Linked DNA regions of Danio rerio. The protein of the gene in region 1 interacts with the protein of each later gene in a pairwise test. Links are inferred from orthologs where the notes say so. Each region holds a gene or a part of one and is shown in the gene's direction. Other genes may lie near its edges.

Region 1 (6,810 bases):
ACCAAAATTTTAATTGAAAATCAGCTTGGTTAATTTTTTTGTTGTTGTTTTTTTTTTAGATTATTTTTAACTATGTTGCCGGGTCCCACTAGAAGAATTTTAAAAATAAAACAAGAGCAATCTCATAAAGTAACCAAAATGAATCCAAATGCTTTTTTTATCCAAAAGCTTTCTAGAATCATTTTTTGCCAGGTCCTGCTAGTAGAAATGTTGAAAACCAAAATTTCAATTGAAACACTAAAGAGCATCAAGCTCATAAATCTATGAGCACACAAGCTCATCAATGAACCAAACTTCAATACAAATGCTTTATATTAAAAATCAAACAGGATGTCTTCATGAACCAAATCCAAACAGGCCAAGCAGGTTTGCCTGTGATTATTAAAAATGAACAGTGGTGGATGCCAAATCTGCAAAATGCCAGAAATACGCCTGTATTTAAATTTCATTGGCACTTTCTAACCTTTTCTATAAATTCAGTCAATTAATAAATGTAAATAATAATTAAACTAATGAAAAGCATGTTTCTTTTCAAATGACAATGCTGTTGATGTTTAATCTGCCACTTTAACATCCTCTAACATTCATGATAACAATCTGTTAAAGGGTTAGTTTACCCCAAAATGAACTTAATTTGCCTATCTATAAGATTGTTGAAACCTGTATGACTGAACCCCTTCCACATTGCTGACATTTCTCAAAATATCTGATTTTCCACTGAAAAAAGAAAGTCATGCAGGATATGAGGGGAGTGTACACGATGACAGAAGTTTCATTTTTGGGTGAACTTTCAGTATTAAGCAAGTGGTGTCCATGTGTGCGACTCTAAGTGTGGGTTTGTGTGAGTTTTAGTAGGTGTTTCTGACACATATGTAAACTAGGACGGAGGCCGACTCATGCTGTGAAAGATTTCTTACTAAATCAACACATCTGTTTGCGTTTCGTTTGTCATCATGTCTAATGTCAATGTCTTTCTTTTGCAGGACTAACTCTGGCAACACAAGCGATTTGTTCCCAATGTCGCCTCGCACGCTCGACTCTCTCATGCACAACGAAGCTGCTGAGGCCAATCCAGGACCTCTCGGTGAGTCATGACGTTTCAACAGCTTATCATGTTTATGAAAAAAGATACATATTTATAAATAGTCGAATACAAAATAAAAGTTTGTTCGACATAAGATATGTGTGCATTATATATATACATATATATATATACAACAGTTCTGTCTGGTTCTCAAATCTGATTGGCTGATAGCCATGCAATATTCTGCAATATCAGAACTCCTACAGCCTCTTTAACCCTTTGTGTATTACTCCGCCCACATACAGCCAGCAAAAAGCAGACACTACAGATCTAAAGTTTAAAAGATGCACACTCAACTGTTTAACTGTCAGCTTATGATTTGAATCCGGAAGAAAGTAGTTCCTCATACACAAGAGTTTTTGAGACTCTCCAAGTTTGATTTTGTTTTTATATACACAATTATGCTGTCAAACTCGTAGCAGTGCGATAAGGCAACGCACGCTTCCCACCAGTGCCGATATACAGCCATATCGCACTGCTACTCGTGTGATATTGCTCATATATATATATATATATATATATATATATATATATATATATATATATATATTTATATTTACCGTGTGTTATATACACATACAGTTGAAGTCACAATTATTAGCCCCTCTTTGATTTTTTTTTTTCTTTTTTAAATATTTCCCAAATAATGTTTAACAGAGCAAAGAAATTTTTACAGTATGTCTGATAATATTTTTCCTTTTGGGGAAAGTTTTATTTCAGCTAGAATAAAAGCAGTTTTGATTTTTTTTTTAAAAAGCAATAGAGTCAAAATTATTAGCCCTTTTAAGCTAAATGTTTTTCAATAGTCTACAGAACAAACCATCATGATACAATAACTTGCAATAACAATAATAAAATATAAGGTTTACAGTGCAAATACAATTAGAATCACTTGTTTAATAAACCAAGCTACAGTAAATCTCTCATATAATACATCCACTAAAAACAGGAATCATTAGTTTACAAATTATGTTGTACATAAATCCTCAACATCTGCTTATTTGTCAATGATATTGCTCTAATTAATATAAAAACGATAATGTAATATGTGTAAGAATAAATATTTACTCCCATTTACAGAAGAATGTAAAATGATTGAATGGTGGGCTCAAAAAGAAATCTAATAGTAGTATTAATAATAAATAATTACATCATTAAACGTGTATTTAAATTACTTTTCTAATTACTATTTTCCAAGGCATGTGCAGTTGTCTGACAAATCCAACATTTAGTTGAGAAATGAAATTATTTAACCCGCAAAGTATCTAAAGAGGAAAATACAATCACACTGTTCTAGTCTACAGTAATATTTATTTTATCATGAATTAATTAATCACTCCTTTTATTGTTTCTTAAGCATGTTATGTTGTCTTGATAAATGTCACCTTTACTTGAAAAACTATTGTTTTTATATATAATATATTTGTATAGTAAAAAACAATACAATAATTTCTGTTTTTCAAAATTAATTTATAAAGAACTGTTGAATTTAAGTTTCTGTGTAACTGTAATGGGTTATATGCACATGGACTTTTAATTTTAGTCAGCCAGCCTCAGCAATCTTTCCATTTATAAAATTGCCATGTTAAGGTCTGATTTCTTTAAAAAATTAATGATATTCACTGCCTGATAGATATAGGATATAAAGTGGATCTCACACCGGCCAAGAAGAACTGCGTCAAATTCCATTTCCCGCCATCACATCTTAAAAATGTGGCCGTTTATTTTACCCCAGTGTTTCTACTGTCAGAGTTTCTGCGCTCGCCTGCTGATCCTGACTGCTAGTGGTTACTTGGTCTTTAATTTCGATTTCCCTTGAACAACTAAATAAATGAATAAGTCTATTCAACTGAATGTACTTTAACTACATTACAACATGGATGATGTAAAAGAAGCCATATGAAATTGAAAATAGTCACATTAACCTTTTACCCTTGTTTGTAACCCACAATCAATTTGTACATAAACGAAATATGGCAAAGAGAATGGGACAACTGCATAAAAAATAAATTACATGAAATTAACCCGTAAATAAACAAAAGGCATTTAGCAAATTATAGTTTTGAGACCAGACATGATCAAACGGTCTATACCAGATGTCGAATCGGACATTTTAGGTTTGCTGAATAACGAAGAATCACCTAAATGTAATGTACTGCCAGGCTGCTCTTACCATAAAACAGATTTTGTTGGAATGTAGAAGTTTAAAATCCATTTGACAAAATTTTTATAAGGAGGGTATTTTGATGGACATCTTTAAAAAGGTACCACCCGGAAGAGTTTTAAATTATTTATCAAAAATTGAACTGAAATATCATATTTAACTTTGAAAAAGAAATGTGTGCCATTTTATCTATTAATATTTTATATATTTGTCTATGTAACTTTTTTTTTGTAATATGAATTTGTTTTTATCATTTAATATTTTATGTACATCCATTTTGCCACGAAATAGCCATAAGTTGCTGATGTGGCAAGAAATAAATAATATATAAATAAATTAACCTTTCACAGGAAGTTTATCATTGGCTGAAAAACAAAAAACAAAAAAAATCCCTTACTTTTTTTTTTTGAGGATAAGTAATTTAATGAAAGTAACTTATTACAGCCAACCCACCTTCTTATAATACTGTGTGTTGCCATGTTTCCCCAGAATCCCTCACTCTGGACATGGAGTTGAGCTCTGATCATGCGTCACCCATGAGAGAAGGGTTTGCAGCCTCCACAGTCTCGGATATGGACACCTGCCGAAATGCTTAGTTTTCCAAGATTTTAGTTTCATTTTTTTTTTTTTTTTTTTCCATTGGGAAAAGCAATTTTCATGTATATAGTGAGCTTAGGTGCTACAACTGCTTTCTCTCTCCGAGCCAAATTTTGCATTTCTTTTTTTGATTTTACAGTCAGTCAAAAGTGCAAACAAGCTAAAGTTTTCATTTCAACCTCGACAATACTGAAGTTGACTTTAAAATTAAAAAAAAAAAAATAATAATGGTTACACTGTAAAAAATGCTTTTCTTGTTTAAAGTTTTTGTCTTGTTTCTAGTCCAAATATCTACAAAATCTTAAAGGGCACCTATTTTACCCCTTTTACAGGATGTAATAATCTTTTGGTGTCTCTAGAATGTGTCTGTAAAGTTTCAGCTCAAAATACTCATCAGATTATTTATTATAGTAACCAGAATCTGCACATTTCGGTGTCTGAATACAGTGTAGCTGTTTCTGTAGCATGTCTTTAAATGCAAATAATCTACTTCTCCCCACCCACCGTTTCCACATGCGTGTCTGCTTCTATTACACCCCAAGACTAGGGGAAAACAACATGGGCTTAATAAACGGGGGAAAAAGTGTTGTGGGTGGTGGATTTCCCAAACAAAACAAAAAACTTGATGCAAAAGATCCCCCTCGGACATTCAGATGAGAGTGGTTGATAGATTTATTATAGAAAAATAGGCCAAAATAACAAACAAAAGACAAAGTAAATGAACTAAATTACTTATGTATATTTAAAGAAAAATACAAGAAGCTTACCTTCCTCCTTAAATATAAACAGTCAAAAGTAATCAAATAAATAGGCAGGCCACCTCTACAAGCTCAAACTCTCAAAACGTTGCAAGCATGAACAGTTGTACAAGACTAAAGGTTGGTCGTCTGCCGGAGAGGTAGGGAAAATCCAGAAGCTCTCCACTCCCAGCAACCCTTGCACCACAAATGAGCTCCCCGAACCCTTCCGTAAGTTCCTTTTAATAGGCCTCTGCGACCAGCAGTCAATCAGAGCTTGGATCACATTAGAATGGGATTCTATGGAATAACAGAAAACAACAGAAAATGCGGAACACATGCAAGACACATGCAATGCGCAACAAAAAATAAACAAATACTTTAGTCGTAACAGCTTCTCATCATGCAGTACGTCAGCTAAACAGACATCAGTGATAGAGACAGACACTGATAAAGCTGAAATACAGCTCCATTAGTCAAAAATACCAAGTAAGTTTATTACATGTATTTGTGGAGGAGTTTATTTAAGCCTTTCTGAAATGATGAGTCTCACACAAATGCCGTTTGCAGTACACACATATATATGCCGAGTACAATTCCTGGCCGATGCTTCCCCCTTCTCTGCTCCCCATACTTTCCTGTCTGTTAATCTCCACTGTCTTTATTAACCCTAAACATTTTAAAAATAATTATTACAAACATGCTCTGTTTTAAAAATGTTTTAAACTGATAAAACTTATACAAATCACAGAGAATTGTAACAGATAATTCAGTCCCAGTTTCTTTGCAAAAAATTGACAGTTATTATAGAAACATGGTGCCTGTCAATCAATTCAGTGGGTGGGGAAAACTGCATTTCTACTTGACAATGTGGTGGGCCTCACAATCACTAGGATTTGGGTCCTATTTTAACATCAGGAAATATTAAAAAAACAGACTTCTTGGGTCTACAGAACTCCAATATGGCAGTGGACACACTATATCTAAACACAGTTCTGTCCAAACAGCTTCCAAAAGTTCTTTTTCATCATAGGTGCCCTTTAAAACAAGAAGCATCTTCTAGACAAGTAAGAAATTTTGTATGTTTTCAAAAATATTTAGTCGAAATTAAGTTAGATTTTTCTGTCAAACAAGCAAAATAATCTGCCATTAGGGTGAGTAAAATGTTTTTGATTTCAAATTAGTATCTTACTTAACCCATTGGCAGATTATTTTGCAAAAAATATAAGAATTTTTACTCATTATACCTAAAAGCAAAACAATATTTTTTATTTGTCAAAAAATACTACTTGATTTAAGATTTTTTTTATATATTTGGACTAAAATCGAGACCAAAATTAAGCAGGAAAAAATATTTAAATGTTTTATTTTTTTATTACATGTTGATTTGAATGGTTTTAAACTTTGAAAGAGCTTTCAACATGTTTAAACTGCAAACTTTTGGCCATGACTGTATTGTTGCCACATCTATTTTTTAGGAATAGGAAAAAAGCCAGTCATTTGTATTGCAATGAATGTCCAGTGTGTTCGCAGACATGAAGCATATTCCGAGCTGTTGGCATATAGAGACGGTGTTTTGATCTTTTGAAATGAGTAAACTTTACAGGAATACAGATAATCGGCATGATCTTTCATCATATTGAACCTAAAACTGGATTCAGATCTTGATTGGGCACTCAAGCATCATTAAACGGTCAGATCATAAGTTGTAAAGTGACTTTTTATGCATGCACGTCTATGATAGCTTCGGTTTTACATGAATATACTGTATTTTAATGTCGCTAAAAATGTTTTACTCTTTTATTATATGTCTTAGGGAAGCCCATGGAGGAAGATAAATGTCTGAATATATATCTTGCGCTGAATTTTTCGCCATATTACAGTGTCGCCCATATTTGGATTGCAAGGTAATTCTTGCACAGAGCCAGCAGAAATATAGATACACATCCAAATACATGCACATATACAGAAGCAGCAATGCACACATATTTATAATTTTACTCCTTAAATCTCTCATCTGTTGTGTGATCATCATGCAAGATACACTTCAAATGGAAATATGATGGAAAAAAAGATGCTTCTTTGTGTACTGTTTCTCAGTCTGTTCTTCCTCTCTCACTTTATAGTGTGTATACTGTTATGTGTATATGCACTGCACTATGTATATTCTCTTTGTTGTACAATGAATTCTTGAAGAGAAATGGTTCTCTGCTCTCGTTTTTTCGTGC
Region 2 (8,156 bases), on another chromosome or scaffold:
ACTGTTGATGCTGTACAGTATTTATAAATAAATGTGTAACTTATGTGGATGAGCTTAAAAATCTTTTTTCTTTTGTTTAGCACCAAGAATGATGAATATCTGGACCTTTCAGCATATCTTTTGGACTTTTACTGAACTCCACAAGGTGTGATTTCCAGCATCAAATCAAATTTTATAAATAAATGTTAATTAACCCTACACAAGAAGATGATCACATTTCATTTTTAAGGATGGGTTGTGCTTGTAGTGACCAGAACCATCCAAAAGGTCATGAGCATTATAATTCAACAAACTCTAAGACATCTCACGTAAGTATTGCTGGTTTTAGTATTTAATTATAATTTTTAATTTAATTTAATTTAATTTAATTTAATTTAATTTAATTTTATTTTATTTTATTTTATTTTATTTTATTATTAATTTTTTTAAGTTTAAAAAAGCTAATAGTTTTTGTATTCTGTGTTTTCTTTCTTTTTATGTTTGTAAAAATTATGTTTATGACATTAAAGTCACAGAAGCATAGTTTGTAATAACATTGTGGTATGTTGTAATGCAGTGTTACCAGTGGTGTAAAGTAACTAATTACAAATGTTATCTTAAATTATATTTAAAAATGTATTATGTCTTGTTTTTAAAAAACAAACATTTTGGTCAATAAGTTATATATATTTTATATATATTATATATTATTCTTGTTATTTACAGGCGTCAAGAGATCACAAGAAGCAAAACAACAACCAAGGTAATGCATATGTTTTATTTCAGTTATCGAATTTGGCATTAGTGAAGAGTATCTGTTTATTGCAACTTATTTAGTAATATTTGAATAGTCATTATGGTTTTTGGCCTAATCACTGTGTTTCTACTGAAAATGTTAAAATCTTTTCTAAAAAAGAAAGGAAAAGGAAACTTTTATAATGCTATGGTCACATCATTAAACATATTGCATTGTCTAAAATAAAGACAATAATATACATCACAAATGCAAGGAAAAGCAGACAAAACATGTCCCAAAAATAATTAAGCTTTTGATCAAAATGAAATGTAAAAATGAGTTGTATTGGCGCTATTAGTTATCAGTTGGTTATTATGTATTAGAGTATTTTGATTAAAATAGGTAAATGTTTAAAATAGAGGTAATTAAATTCACTTTTCATAAGAGAAAATGTTATTTCTTAACCCTGGTTTACATGATGAGATGTTGCAGATGTAAGATTATTTGAAAGGAATTTTTTAACAAATTTAACTTTTTTTTTTCAGATGAAGATGTTGTTATTGCACAATATGACTTCCAGCCTGCTAGTGAAAATGATCTTCAATTCAAAAAAGGGGACAGACTCAGGATTATTAAGGAGTGAGTAAACAACTTGCTAAATATGAATATAGACTATAACTAAAATACAGCACAAATTCTAACATGTTATAATATAACAAGAAGTTGTGAAGTATTGGGTATTTATTTGTACAAGAATCCAAAGCTTAAGTTAGAACTTATTAACTTTATGACGCTCAATTTAAGCAAATGTACAAATGGTATCTATAAGGGAACAGAATAGATAAAAGTGGATGAAAAGATAAGAGATTAAATAATTTGATAATCAAATTATGGGGTATTTGGGGCAACAAAGAATAATGAATAATATTAAACTTGTGCATTTCTTAATGATTGAAATTTGTTTTATACAGATATTCAGATGTTCTGTTCATAATGATAACATTTGTTAGTGTTTGAATAATTGTTTTAAAGGTTTTATTATTTTGTTCGAAATAAATCAATCAAATCTAATTAAATTTGAATCTGTGTTCCAAAAGTACCCAACCTGATGTCACAAGGCAATGTAACTCGTCAGAACAGAAGGGAACTCATACAAATTCATACAATTCCGTTTGTATAAAAAATTTATGATATTTGTGCCCCCAAACTCCCCCTTTACCCTACCCCTCTTTGGGACATGAACAAGTTATACTAAAATGTATGAATAAGATCTGACGAATTCATTTGAATTAGTTGCTAAATCAAAACATTATGAATTGCTGAGAGATGGCGCTAAAAATACCCTCAAAAATGTTTTTTAAAAAGTGTTAATATTGCTGTTATGCTTCATTTAAACTCACTCCAGATTTGCTTTAAATGTTTCAATTCCAAAGTCATGTAAATTAGTACAAACTTCAATCTCACAGTAAAAAGAAAAAGCTAAATCTGATATGTCTTGGTTGTTTTTTGTTTGTTTAGAAATGGAGAATGGTGGTTGGCGAAGTCCTTGGTCACAGGTTATGAGGGATTTATTCCATCTACGTATGTGGCAAGAGCGCAAACGCTACAGGTGGAGCGGTAAGAGCAAATATGATCAATAAATGTTTTTTTTTTTTTTTTTTTCTCACGATAAATAGTGTTTGCTGCTTTTTGCTGTATTTCAGCTGTGGACTCCAAATGTTGCTCTGCTGTTTTACTGTGCTTAATAATATCAGCATCTTTGGAATGTCCCTTGTCTGTTGTATAATTTGCTGACTTACTTGGAGAAGAATGATATTATTAAGGTTCCTGTTTTTGTTCCAGATGGTTTTTTAAGGACATGAATCGTAGAGATACAGAGCGTCTTCTGCTAGCACCAGGAAATAAACCTGGTTCCTTTCTTGTGAGAGAAAGTGAAACAACCAAAGGTCAGACATTTCCACATTATCACTTATTGTGTTGTACTGTATGTCAGTGGTTCACTGGTTAGGATCAATGACTTATTTATTAATTTGTTGCTGCAGTTTATTACAATAACATTGTAATATAGTGCTTATTGCACGCAGTTGTTTAAGGGCTTTTGCCTTTAATTAATTATTTAGCAATATTAAAAAGAAATACAAGTGTCAAGTTGTAGAACTTAAGGATACAAAAATAGGCTAAAGCCGAGGTGTTTCTGTTGCTTGTAGTTTTATTTTATATACCATTTGGACTAAGAAGAGAGGATTTATTTGGTTTATTCATTTGATTAATTTTGTGAGAGGACTGGACTCTTGAAGGCTTTGATTTTGTTACTGTCTGTAAGATTTTGTGAGGCATTGTGTCATGAATTAGGACTCCTGGCTGCAAAATAAGTCTAATAAAGTAACCAATATTACCTAACTGATACTAAAGAAATCATATAGTACTGTCGATCTGTGTAAACATTTTAGAAACCACTTAAAAACTTTATATCGATTTAGTATTTTTTATGTTTGAGGTTTTAGTTTGCAAGTAATAATAATTGTTATTCTGTGATATTTTCTCCAAATTTAAAATAAAACAATTTTTTACACTTTTACAAATTGAGCATTTTTGGTGCAGAAGATAACAAAAAAGTGTCACGTTTTAGAACATGCTGGTATTCAGTTTTAGAAATCAATATTTGGTCAAAAAACCCACTGTAAAAAAATTGTTGAATCAGCTCAAAATTGTAAGGCAACTTCCTGCAGAGCTTTTTTGAGATGATTCAGTTTTCAACCCAAATTTTGCACTTGACTCTAATAAAGTTAAGTCAACTCAAAAAGCTCTGTAGCAAGTTGCCTTAAAATTTTAAGTTGAGTGAACCTTTTTTTACAGTGCAGATGTTTGTCATAGTAAATATAAACGAATTGAAAAAATCTGACAATTTTTTTTTAGGGAAAATGCTACAAATATCAATACTGTAATGTGTGATTTGAAAGAAATGTTATCAAACCTTTATAAAATAAACCAACAGACCCTTTTCACATTTCCGGATTGCTCAGTAGCGGAAGGCAACATCGCTGGGTAAACTGAGTGAATGGGAGAGTACAACAAATAATTTTTTTACAACTCTATTTGCTGTAACAATAAAAAAAAAAACTTCTCGATGGTGTTATCAAGACTTTTAGAAAAAGGAAAAAAAATTGTGTGAGACTGATGACGGCAGCCAGAGGAGAGAATAACGTCAAATTTACTCTCAGCACTATAAACGCTGCATTAGAAACACCTCACATAAGCTTTAACTAAAAACATTGATCAAATTTAACATTTTATCAAACATTAGAAACTTTCAAGGATTTAAGATCATGATGACCATTAAACACGTTATAACAGTCTTGTGAAAAGGGTCCATATGAATATTTTACTTAAACCAATATCAAATAAATCCATATCCTCTAAATCCAGAGAAGCAGAACTTTTAATTTTTTTTTCATTAGTGTACACTATTCTATCACTGTAAATGAGTGTTTTACATCAGACCATTCAAACTAAATGAATATCTGAAGGAACTCCTAATATTCAGCGTTCAGAATGTTACTTTTATTTGACTCTGCTCAAATTCTTTGTTGATAAAGGATGCATTTTTCAAAGTTTACGGTCTGATCTGCTGATCTTCAGTTCACATCATGCAGAGCGCTGAAAGAGCAAATAAATGTCAAACTATGTACTGAGATTTGCTTGTGTTTTTGCTCAGAGCATAAGTAGAGATAAAAATAGCTTTTCTAACTTTTTTCTAAGCTTTTCTGTTTGTCTGATTTTAGAGCCAGGGGAGGTGCAGAAACTAGACGTAACTGGAATTTATAATTTTTTTTATGCAGATTATTATTATTTTTCATTTTAGTAAACCTTGAAATAACTAATATTGTTTGATTTTATGCATAAAGTATCAAAACCTGATAAATAAATTTGTATGCGTAATATTTATATCTTGTTTATAATGTTATTTATATATATATATATATATATATATATATATATATATATATATATTTTTTTTTTTTTAGTTTTTATACAGTTATATTGTCATTATTTCATTATCATTATTTTATTTTTTCATTATATCATCAGTTTTATATTACTACACTGTAAAAAAATATGACAAAAAGTCATGAAAACAAATGCCTTTATGTTACTTTGCCTTTAATTTAAAAAGTTTCTTAATTTTTAGTTTCTTTCTTTAATTTTTAATAACCAGTTTCTTTTTTGTTGTACAAAATTTACTGTTGTATTTTTAGTCAGTTTGAATGATTTGAGATGAAGTTCATTTGATTCTGAAAAATTTAAGGCAGGGAGAATTTTATTTACAGCATACCTTAAGGGAGGTTTACACTTACAAAACCCCACTAAACAGCTTGTGACCAGTTTATCGAAGAATTTATCACACTATACAAGGTGCATTAATCAACATCAGCTATTTTAGTTACATCTAAACCCACCAATGATCTGTTTATGAAACTCTTTTATGATTATTTTTAGTTTTCATTCCAGTGGTGCCTGTCAGATTGAATTCACTTGAGCATCTATTAATCACATATTTGTCTGAATCTGAAGCTGGTCTTTATTTAACTCATGTTTGTGAATGCTCCTTCACAGGTGCGTTCTCTCTGTCCATCAGAGACTCCACTCCAGAGCAGGGTGATGTGGTCAAGCACTATAAGATTCGAGCCCTGGATAATGGCGGATATTACATCTCCCCGTCCACAAGCTTTTCTTCTCTTCAAGAGCTGGTGAAGTATTACTCTAGTAAGTGCTCAGAGCTGCAGCAAAGGCTTTTTCTGTTTCCTCTACTGTGTAGTTTCTGTGGTGGAAGCAGCAAAGAACAGGATAAACACTTGCTTTAACCACTAGATAAATAGGTCAGAGCTCATAGACTGCACCATCGCCACCGTTTTGGTTTGTTGTGTCTTTTTATAGAACTGTGTACGAGTCATTTTTCTACGTTTTGGTTTGGGGATGTATTATAAAGCCAGTAAACATAGTTTCATTTCAGTGAACCAGGGCCGGCCCAAGCCTTCAGGGGGCCCTAAGCAGGATTTTATTTGGGGCCCCCTTGGTGCAAACAATATGGCAAATTATCGTAAATCCTTGATAATTCGCACACTATAAATTTAAAACACACATTATCGATTTTATTCGCTGTAGCTGTGTTGCTTACATCATAAAATATATGTTTTAAGACAATTCTAAATATTATTCTGCAGAAACAACTTCCTATTGATCCAACTTTTTATGTTACTACTTGCCCAAATCTAAATAATTGACACAAAACATTAATATGGGCTGGCAGAAACAAAAGCAGCTGGAAGTAGCCAATAAAATACTTTTTTTTTTATTATTCAGGCACAAGACGCTGTCAAACATAGTGACAATAAAGATACATTTATTTTTTATTGAATATAAATGTTAACACTGAAAAAAAATCATATTGTATTTTGTAGTTCAAATAACTTAAAACATCTATTTAAACTAAAATCAAAGTAAATCAGGAAGCATTTTCTAGACATACTCGCATATTAGTCAAATTACTAAATATGTACAAAAATTGTTCAGTTTTCAGAAACAAATTCTAAATTAAGTGATTTTTTTTTTTTTTTGTAAAACAAATTAATCTGCCAATGAGATAAGTAAAATAATCTTATTTAAAACCTAAAACAATATTCTTTATTTACCCTAATTGGCAGATTATTGAGCTTTTTTAATGAAAAATTCACATAATTTTGACTAAAAATCTGTCTAGAAAATGTGTATTGGTTTAAGAATTTTTAGATATTTGGACTAAAAATCACACAAAAACTATAAGAAAGAAAATCATTTTTGCAGTGTATTTACCAACTGTCAATAAATCAGAAGCTTATTTTTTATCACCAAGTTCATGAAAAAGCATTTTGCTGCTGTTCCGGGCACTGCTGCTTCAATCACGATATCAATGATTCTGAGATATATTGATAGATCACAAGAAAACCAGCCACAATATATCACAATTTTGGTAAACGAGGGGGAAAATGCATCAAAAAAAATTATGATATTCTTTTATAAACACGCATTTATAGATTTGCAACAATGTAAAACAAGTGCACATCTGTCAAACAAGCTTAAAAATGCTGATGTGCAGAGAGGAGTTTATGACTGAAGAGCATCTATCACAGCAGCAGAATCTCAATTTTGTGCAATGTGCATTTAAGAAAAAAACTGTCAAAAAAGTAATTTATTGCATTCTGTAAACTTAAAACATTACAACTTGACCAACTCATTTTATGTAAACATGGAAAATTTTTATGCTTAAACCAGGTTTATTTTTAATAAAAAAATATGTATTCCCACTATTTTTTCAACTGATCAGAATGCTCTGAGAGGTGAGCACAGACTCCTCTGAGTACGTATGTTTTCAGCAGTGGAGAACATTAGTTATTTACTTATCTGTTTAAGTTTTTTAATTCCCCTAATATTTTTTGCCAAAATACCACCCACAAGACTTTGACAAGTTCTGTAAGAGTCAAATAAACGCAAGACCCTTGTAATTATATGTTCATGTCCTATTGATATCTTTATATATTTTGGCGGAGTTAAAAAGTTTGAGCACATAAGAAGTTGCACTGGCCGCGGGCACGCGCGAGTGATATAGCGAAGTGAAAGCGCGTCTGTTAGAAACTAGTGGCGAATTCGGGGGAGCTGGATGTCTCAAACACACAAATACATTGGCCCAGCTTGGACAGAAGAAAGTGTCTGTATGCCTGAGATATTCACCATTGCAATGGCTCATCTCAGTGGTTTACATGACGCTGGTGTATGTCCGATGATCCGCCATTACGCGAAGCGCCACCTGGTGGCGGCTGGGTGTACTGTAGCTAAAGCGGTTATCTGCTGCAGTCAGTGTGGAAAACTGATTAATTAAATCAGATCTTTTGTAAATTTAGGTAAATATCTTGGCGCCTGAGTATGTATCGCTGTCAGAAATAACACTATAAATGGGCACATATTTTGTCCCATCACTAATCAACAACTCAACAAACTAAAACGAAAGTCACACAATAATTTCAAACCAAGTGTGCCGCAAGCCTACGTTTGAGTGAAGGTTTCGGCCGTTAGATCGCCCCCTGGGGGCTGGCTGCAGTACAAGTCATAAAGCCCGCCTCCCCCGTGTTAATGAAGGAGACTTGAGCCCAAATAAAAAAAAATATTACACTTGCAATAAAATGTCCCGAAAGATAGTTCTGGTCGATTAAGGCACTGGTTATTGTGCTGAAATAGGTGCAGATCTTCATTTTTGTAAACAGTTTGTTTTTAGCAGTAATTTAATGCTGGGCGTGTCATCGTGATTTACAGCTGTGATTGACAGTTTCTCAAAGCGCGGCGTCTGAGCTTCGGCAGGAGACTGAAGTAGACTGAAATGTTATTATTCGATTTCTGTGTTATTTTACCA

The links.
Region 2: the proteins of stat3 (region 1) and blk interact in binary tests that used the Homo sapiens proteins (3 or more experiments, as listed by UniProt). The link is inferred for Danio rerio from reciprocal best matches to the Homo sapiens genes STAT3 and BLK.

Annotation. Positions count from the first base shown.
Region 1 is NC_133178.1:15,777,765-15,784,574, forward strand, and holds the end of stat3 (signal transducer and activator of transcription 3), read left to right. Parts: intron 1-983; coding exon 984-1,084; intron 1,085-3,737; coding exon 3,738-3,844; 3' UTR 3,845-4,284; downstream 4,285-6,810. UniProt on the Homo sapiens protein: Signal transducer and transcription activator that mediates cellular responses to interleukins, KITLG/SCF, LEP and other growth factors. Once activated, recruits coactivators, such as NCOA1 or MED1, to the promoter region of the target gene.
Region 2 is NC_133195.1:21,636,494-21,644,649, forward strand, and holds part of blk (tyrosine-protein kinase Blk), read left to right. Parts: intron 1-80; 5' UTR 81-145; exon of another isoform or gene 146-182; coding exon of another isoform or gene 183-230; coding exon 231-308; intron 309-705; coding exon 706-742; intron 743-1,260; coding exon 1,261-1,354; intron 1,355-2,233; coding exon 2,234-2,332; intron 2,333-2,557; coding exon 2,558-2,661; intron 2,662-5,329; coding exon 5,330-5,479; intron 5,480-8,156. UniProt on the Homo sapiens protein: Non-receptor tyrosine kinase involved in B-lymphocyte development, differentiation and signaling. B-cell receptor (BCR) signaling requires a tight regulation of several protein tyrosine kinases and phosphatases, and associated coreceptors.